Oryzias latipes: one gene and its partner. The main gene of each other region encodes a partner of the protein of the gene in region 2 in a complex. Links are inferred from orthologs where the notes say so. Each region holds a gene or a part of one and is shown on either strand. Other genes may lie near its edges. The genes, in order: casp9 and apaf1.

What was found.
Region 1: the proteins of apaf1 (region 2) and casp9 are in contact, whole or in part, in a crystal structure (PDB 4RHW), measured with the Homo sapiens proteins. The link is inferred for Oryzias latipes from reciprocal best matches to the Homo sapiens genes APAF1 and CASP9. Residues at the interface, in NP_863651.1 of Homo sapiens: Thr22, Ser23, Tyr24, Met26, Asp27, Ile30, Ser31, Ile37, Glu40, Glu41, Arg44; in NP_001220.2 of Homo sapiens: Asp23, Trp26, Asp27, Leu30, Arg36, Pro37, His38, Glu41, Gln44, Arg45.

What each region holds. Positions count from the first base shown.
Region 1 is NC_019865.2:5,964,992-5,969,576, reverse strand, and holds the start of casp9 (caspase-9), read left to right. Parts: upstream 1-1,558; 5' UTR 1,559-1,781; coding exon 1,782-1,913; intron 1,914-2,005; coding exon 2,006-2,216; intron 2,217-2,292; coding exon 2,293-2,340; intron 2,341-3,297; coding exon 3,298-3,353; intron 3,354-3,434; coding exon 3,435-3,611; intron 3,612-3,687; coding exon 3,688-3,777; intron 3,778-4,086; coding exon 4,087-4,137; intron 4,138-4,585. Other genes in the region: dnajc16 (dnaJ homolog subfamily C member 16), read right to left, coding at 36-220, 295-619, 694-760, 832-998. UniProt on the Homo sapiens protein: Involved in the activation cascade of caspases responsible for apoptosis execution. Binding of caspase-9 to Apaf-1 leads to activation of the protease which then cleaves and activates effector caspases caspase-3 (CASP3) or caspase-7 (CASP7).
Region 2 is NC_019881.2:17,123,956-17,127,772, reverse strand, and holds part of apaf1 (apoptotic protease-activating factor 1), read right to left. Parts: intron 2,458-3,817; coding exon 2,345-2,457; intron 2,260-2,344; coding exon 2,128-2,259; intron 1,981-2,127; coding exon 1,742-1,980; intron 1,166-1,741; coding exon 998-1,165; intron 672-997; coding exon 540-671; intron 457-539; coding exon 343-456; intron 188-342; coding exon 3-187; intron 1-2. UniProt on the Homo sapiens protein: Oligomeric Apaf-1 mediates the cytochrome c-dependent autocatalytic activation of pro-caspase-9 (Apaf-3), leading to the activation of caspase-3 and apoptosis. This activation requires ATP. Isoform 6 is less effective in inducing apoptosis.

The DNA of each region.
Region 1 (4,585 bases), on a different chromosome or scaffold from region 2:
AACATGTTTGTCCCTCCCCACATACACGTATGTACCTGCTCCACCAGCCTCTGAGGAAGAAGGTCTTCTACAAACTGCTTCAAGTGTTCCTTTGCGACAGCATAATGGAAAAATGTCACTTTGCCATTGAGGACTCCAAGTATGGATGGGGTGCGGTGAGCACCGAGGTGATTGGCTAACCGTCTTTCATAGCCTACATCCACCACGCCGATCCCAACACCTGCAAAGACAAGGCATCCACGGATGATCTAAACCCATATGAGTTCATGCATGACAGGAGACCTCATCTCTAACCTAGACTCTCCATCTCCTGCACCACCTCTTTCCACACAGGCTCGATGTGGATGCAGGTGAAGCACCAATCGGAGGTGATCTTTATCAGGTAGGGCCTCTTGTAGCTGTCAGGAACCACGTCGTTGATGTAGTGGTTGAAGTGAAGGGTGTACTTGTTGTCGCCAAAGTCTCTTTGGTTCTTGTTGTTGAACGGGAAGTTAAAGAAGGACTCATCAAAGTAGAAGTTGTCATGGCGATGGCCATAATGACCGCTGCCATACGGTTGGGTGTCATCAGTCTGCCCATAACGGTCATAGTTGGCCCGTTTATCTTCACTGGACAGGATCTGGATTGGAGATGATGCACACATTTCAGGCATGACTGCTACAAATGGTCAAACCCACCTGAACCAGAACTAACCTCATAGGATTTGGTGATCTTGATGAACATATCCTCAGCGCCTGGATCTTTATTTTTGTCAGGATGCCTGAAGAAACAGAGGCTCATTTGAACTGAACATGTCAAACTGGTTAGTTGTCCCATCAAAAATATATTTACCATTCTCTTGCAAGTCGCTTGTAGACCTTTTTGATCTCAGCTGAGTTTGCACTCCTGGTCACACCTAATATTTTGTAGGGGTCCATCTCAGATGCAGCGCGAGCTGGTGGCGTCAGCAGCACCGCCAGGACCACGGCCACAGCCAGGGTCATCTTTGACCCCCCCATCGGTCCCCCTCACGACAGCGGATCAGTTCGCACCAGAAAACGCCTCTACATCGTGACACGGATTTTGGATTGCCTCCACATCTGCACAGCTGTTCCACTCAAATGATGCCAGAGCGGAAGCATCCATAATAACATGCTAACCACAAAAACACTGGCAATGCCGCCTGTGGCTATGTTGCCTTTCCTCCAGAATAAAACGCATTTTAAGGACTGCGTCTGCTCCAGTTGTTTATGTTCTCCAAAAACAAAGGTAGTCCGCCGGTTCTACGCCACATTAGGGTGGTTTTGGTCCTCTCAAGCTCCACGATGCTGGCTATCCAGAGATACACACACGGGGTATGTTCGGCCACAAATCACCAATATTCCGGGGCAAACCGCTCTAGGAAAAAAAGAGCATAGAGCTAAAAATAGTAAATGCAATAGCGTTCTGTGACATCTTAAACACCTCTGTGTTACAACTTGACGTTTTATCGAGCCGGGAATAGATTGGATTTGTGCACCGCTCTCCCCCTACAGTCACAGAGACACACCGGTACTGAAATCAAACGTACCCATGAGCTAGCCTATCACAGGCGGTGATGATGTAAACAAGGAAGTGGCTGATGGAACTTCGGGGGAAAACCAACCATAGGCATAAATATATCGAAAACAAGCTAGATGCGAAGAAGCTTTCTTTTTAACGAATTTATATCCTTAAAAACGCGCCTCTGGGTTGAATATTAAAACATTTTCGGAATTTGTTTTTGATTCTGTATTGGTAGTAAGGCGTTCGTGTGGAAGGAAATGGAAGAAAAACACAAAAGGATCCTTCGCCGAAACCGAGTTCATCTGGTAAAGGAGTTGGACCTGTCGGACCTCTGTGATGTTCTCCTTAGAAAAGACGTGTTCACCCAAAGCATGATAAACGACATAAAGGTAGGTTTCTACCACTAATGTTAGTGTCTCTTGTTTAGTGTTGTTGTTGTTGAAAAAACAAACAATTTAAAAAAATGTGTCCTGGCCGACAGAACTGTGAGACCAAACGGGACCAGGCCCGAAAATTGGTTAAGGACTTAGAGACCCGCGGGAATGAGGCGTTTTCGGCTTTTCTGGAGGGCCTTCGGGTCACGGGTCAGCAGAATCTGCTGGAGCTACTCCAGAAATCAGCTCCAAGAGTCCATTTCCAGCCTGGGAAATCCACGGAGGCGGGATACCTTCTAATCCAGCCTCATCCAGTTTGTAAGTCTGCTCTGCCAAAGTCCAGTTTGATCACTTATTTGATAGAAATAATATTTATTTGTCTTTTGTACTGTAGACATTGAAGATGCTGTTCCAAAGAAGCCCAGGACCCAACCTAGTCCACGTAAGAGAGAGAGGAGGGGTGGGGGTGTTAAAGTCCCCCATAACATTTTCATGTATTTTATTTATTTTCATAAAAACGTTCCCAGTAGTGTTCCCACAATCCCACAACCTAAATATCTTTAAACGCCATATTTCATGTTCATTCTAAACCTCTGTCTCCAAAATCTCCTCTTCATGGGCGTGGCTAGTGGTGCTGAGCGGTAGCCCCGCCCTTGATCCCGCCTTTTTGATGATGATAACTGTGTCCTGCAAGAGGGACAAGCTTGACACACTTGGGATCAATGATACTGATTGACAGTCTCTCTTCTCACAAGTTTCTCTTTAGCGATAAAGTGAAAAGTGACATTTTTGATTCCAAATCGCGCTTTCGGAACAATGACAACACGAACGTGTGTACCAGTTTAATAAAATAATAATAAAAAATGTATCATTATTATTTGCTCTGCTACACGGATCCAGAGGAAGGCTTAAGTTTAGGATTACAAGTTACGGCTAAGCTGCGTTCACACCGAACATGATTCACGCCGTACAAGCAGCAATGTGCCATCTCCTCTTCTGCCGCACCTGAGCTTGTGCACGCTGGACGGGGCAGATCAGGGAGCTTACGCAATGCCTATGCGCTCCTTGGCTATTATGACATCACAACGGCTCATTATTCAAACCGAGCGTCTCTCCGACAGTTTGATTGACAACGACTTAAAAGGAGAAATACTCAGAAATGCTAAAATGAAATGATTTAAATACATTTGCTCTGTTTCATAAGAAAAAAACACATGTACATTTAAAAACTCAAAAAACGTGATTTTCATCGGAGGGGGACTTTAAGTTCTATGTGGAACCATGTTGGATCCTTTTGTTTGTTTGTTTACCAGATTTTATACAATTTCATACAATTGAATTTCCCCAATGTGGGATCAATAAAGAATATCTTATCTTATCTTATCTTTTGTTGTTACAGCACCTGACGAGGTGTTCAAGGGGCCAGAGGTCCGACCACGACGGGACAGCATCCAGGTGAGCAGCCTTCATCATCCACATGCAGCTGTGTTTCCAGCATAATTGATCTAAATAACATATGGTGTGCTTGTGTGTCAGTACTATAAGATGGATGCCAGGCCATGCGGTCTTTGTCTTATCATAAACAACGTGGAATTTGAGCCAAAAACTGAGCTCAGCATTCGCAAAGGATCCAACGTGGACTGTGACAAGCTAGAGAAACGATTCAAGTCGCTTAACTTCGTGGTGGAAGTCCGGACAAATCTGAAACAAAGGGTGAGAGTCCTTTCTGCTTCTTCTGGGTCTGAAACGTTCTGAAAGGTAAAGATGCTCACTTGTGTCTTTCTTTCAGCAAATCAAATCTGAGCTGTCAGCTTTGTCCAGGAAGGATCATTCCATTTACGACTGCTGTGTGGTCGTCATACTCTCACATGGGACAGAGGTGAGGCGTCTCCTGTTTTTACTTTGTGTTTTTGGCGTTTTTAACATGTCGTCGTGGCATTTTTCTCATCACGGAGGACATATAGAAATAAAATTAAGCTTAGAATTGCATTACTGAGTAGTTCTTTATTCAGCTTGGTATGAATCAGTAGCAGAGGAAAAAGAAATGCTGTAGGAAAAAGCTGGCAGCAGGGATGTAGGTGCTACAATCGGTAGTCCAAAAGTTCCTGCTCCACTCCATTGCCATGCCTTCAAGACTTTGACATGGAACATGCTCACACGTTGCTTGATTACTTTTTGCTATATGCAGGTCCGCCACAACAAGATCAGATCAGCTGGGAGCTGGATAGAAATAGACCAGGTACGATAGAAAGGGAACAATTTATTATGTAGACAATTTGCCAAATGAGTGGCATTCAAGTTGATGTCCGAGGTTCTGTCAAGCACAAGGATTCCTTTGTCCTTTTCAAATAAGCAGAGGCCAAAAGGCAAATCAATGAAAGTGCAAAAAAAAAAAAACAAGACACATGCTTAAACAAACCCTGGAGACTGAAAGAAATTCTTCTCCAAATGATTGGGAAAGGAAGTTCCTTCTTTAGCAGTTCTGGATTAGATGTCAAAAGGTCAAGAAAAGGTTGTTTTCTCAGAGAGGAGTTCATCATAACCACACCCCTGTGAAACACTAAAATACTCTTTTCATCAGAATTTATATTTAATTAAAATGCAATAGACAAAGGCCAAGAATTTTTTTTACTTCTATGAGACATTTCTCTCTAAACTTAGACAGAATTCAAATGCTCATGTTCTGT
Region 2 (3,817 bases):
ACATGAGGTCAAAGTAGAGCTTCCCGTCTTTGGCCCTCTCCTGTGCCAGCAGCCGAGCTTGTCTGTAAACCTCTGAGGTGTGGGGCTGAGAGAGAGCGAGCTGGACGATGTCGGGGAAAGGACGCTGCTCCAGGTAGTGGCCACTCAGGGACAGAAACTCCTGGAACTCACTGCACATTTCATTGTTCTGGCGGCACAAAGGTCACATCACAAAAACATGTTTCAGCAAGATGAGAAGAAAGTAGAACCCACAGCTGCAATTAAGCCTAAAACTCTGCTTTATTCCTGATGTCAACTCAGTAACATTGATGCAGTAAAGGTTTCTTTTTCAAGTCGGCTGACCTCTTTGTCCAGAATGGATCCATACTCCAGATAGTCATTAATCAGGTGGGCCGGACCCATTATCTGCCCCTTCACGCTGATCCAGTCCAGGGAGAACAAGAGGGAGTGCAGCTCCTTAATGCAATGAAAGAAAAAGGCGTCATGCGGATCCAAAGTCTGAATATAAATGTACAGAGAGAACAGAATGTGCTTTTTACCTGGAAAAGGTTAGCATTGGCCATATGGTAAGCCAAGTATCGGATCCAGTAAAGAGACTCCTCATCTCTTGAGGTCAGAGGCCTGTCTTTGTAGCGGTGCTGGTAACGTTCCACCATCTTTTTGTGAAGGCTCTGAGACATGAGCATTCATGCAAACACATTAGAACGAAGAATTGTTTTAAAAACGGTTGATGAAATAACCAAGATGATAATTTTATAAGCATCTTAGATCAAAATAGACTATAGATTGGTTTATTTGAGAAATTAAATAATCTGGTATAAACAAAATCCATAACATATCTACAAAAGTTTGTACTGAATTTAAAAATGAACTTTTTCACACACACATATATGTGCATAAATTACATTAATCAGTTCTCTATAAAACACACATTTGTTTTTTTTTCAGCATCAGTTACTGGCTTTCCTACGGAGTAGAAGGAGTTAGAGGTTCACACCTTTAACTGGTTTTTATTCTGCTCCAATAAAAAATCCAGCTGAAGGTCATGGAGGTAGAAAACGTTGGGTTGGGACTGAGAGTCCACAAAAAGCATGGCTCTGTTGACAAATTCTGAGAGGGTGTCCTCAGTGTCCACTTGATCCTGACCCCATAAAACAGACATCATCTGGAAAAGTACATAAAATATTTTGGAGATTTAGCTTCATATTGTTCAAGTAAATCTGGTTTTAGACTAATAACCCACTCTAATCATCTTTTGATTTAACGTAAAAGCGTTTCCAGTGGGCTTTTAATTACGATTATACAGTTTTTAGACAAAATCGAAAATTGTGTTGTTTTCAAGGACATATTTTCTGCAGAGCGACAAAAGTTCATTAGATATTTGCCTCAGAGTTGCTGGTGGGACTTACAGCCCCTCACACCCCCCAACCTAACATTACAAGTGAAATGAAAATGGCGAGCAATATTGGAGCTATCCAGCCGTACAGCTGTGAGCCAGATGCAGCTCAGACGATTTTCTACGTTACAATTATACTCTGTTTCAAACTGTATTTTTACGTCTGCTCCTGATTCACAACGATTTGAATAAAGAAATACTCAGAAATGCAATTTTCAGCTTAATTTTCTTAATATATGTCATCCATCATCAGAAAATTGCTACATGTTAAAAATACCAAAAACACTACTCTTATTGGAGTGGGTCAAATCAAAGTTGTTGCCAGTTATGATAATCATGAATGACCTTGGCAGTGACTTTGACGTCCTTGTGTAGAACAGTCAGGAGGTTGTAGAGATCTCTGTAGTCATCAGACAAGTCTTCAATGCCTGCAGCAATAGCCTGATCCAAAGCCTCGTAGTTATAGGAACTTGACTTCCTGATACGCCGGAACTGTTTTTTCTCTAGCTGTCTGAGGTAATAACCCCAACGGTCAGGATTCTCCCTGAGCAGAGAGCCGATCATGGACACCGCCAGAGGAGAGCCTAACGGAGCCCAAAAAGAAGCAGAAAATGTGGGAGAAACATTTGTTAGTTAAAAACAAAAAAATAGATTCTAGATTCAATAAACAAGTCTGTAGCCACGCCCACAATTGCCCAATAAAATTAACACAAAATGCACAAAAAACTAACCTTGGCATTTTTTGACGATGCTTAGAGCTTCCTCAGGAAGCCTATACATCTCAATTTTGGACAGCTGAGAAAGAATCTCCAGCGCTTTGTCCTCATCCAAGCCAGAGTTCACCTCCACCTCGTGTTTACTACCTTTCAAAGTAAAAGCATAAGTTTATGGGACTTGTTTGGTAAGACTGTGTTCCTCACAGAAGACAGAAACGACTTTTTTATTTACCATTAACAACATCAGCAAGGGACCGGTTTCTGGTGGTCAGAAGAATCCGACAGTGGATATCAACGGCCTTCAGCACCGTGCTGTCCCAGACGTCGTCAAGAATCAGCAGAGTCCTTTAAAAAAATAAAATAAATAAAAGTATAAAAAAATCGGTTTACAAACAAAAAAAATAACTGGACGAGGATTTATTCAAAATATTCAGAAAATCTTAAAGATTTTCACTTTAAAAAAGAACAAAAAAAAGGTTCCAGTTCCAATTCCAGTTTTTTGTTGTTGCTTTTTTCCCCCCTGCATTTAGACTTTGCGTCAGAAGTGGCGTACGGATGAAACATAGGACGTACGTACGCACAGAAATATTCGGATTTATAAGACACATCCTACGAATCTTTCCCTTAATAAATCAAAACCGATTCTAAATGCAGAGCAGCTTTTGCGGCTTCATGACACGCCCATTGTTGCCCATAAATAGTCTGTGAAACGCCCACAAATGAATATTCATTGATTGCAAAACCATGGCAAACACCGAGAAGAAATCAAAAAAACGTAACTTCACTCAATGTGAAGTAGAAGTTATCGCTGGCGAGGTGGAAAAGAGGAGAAAAATGTTGTTTGGAGGGCACAGTGTGGGCATTACTAATGCCAAAAAGGCAAGTGAGTGGCAAACGGAGGCAGACGCCATAAATGCCTTTAGCCTCGGACCGTGGTCGGACATCAAAGTCGAAGCAAAAAACGTCTGGCGCTGCATCGCCACAGGGGGTGGTACACCGGAGCTGACCCCTCTTGATGAGCGACTGGCGGCAATAATCGGGGAATCCCTTAAGTGGAGTGGTGACTGACGCGCAGGGGGACACGACGCGCCGGATGCACCGGGTGACACACCCCCAAAAGCCCGCAGAGGAAGTCGGAAATGGCTCATAAGCCACTCGTCCTCGTTTGCCAGCAAGTCTTCTTGCTGTCTAAAGATGCGTTCACTCCGAATTCTTCCATTTGCCACATCTTCTAAAAGCGCAAGATCAGCCATTGTGCATCATTACGCATTGTGATGGGGCATTTCATTTCCATCCATTTAATTGCATCTGACAAGCTACAGATGTCGGTAATAATCGACGTGGAAAAGGGAAACTGATCAGCGCAAATGTAATTTCTTGTTGCTTTCTGAATGGTTGAGACATACGCCATACATTGTTTTATCAAAAATAAAACAAACTAAAGGCATATGCATGAATACCATAATTCCGTAGCTTATGAAGAAATGTCTTACTATGAAAACAACTTTCCCCAGTGGACAATTAATGCATCTCTCTCTATCTATCCATCTGTCTGTCTGATTGCACCTATATCTGCTCCGCCAGACGGACACTTTATAAACGTGGCTAATCAGTTTTGTAAATTATTTCGTTCTGTTAACTATATTATTTATGAGGATGAATTGCACAACATGCCAATATTGCAGAACATATTTCACTGTTCTTT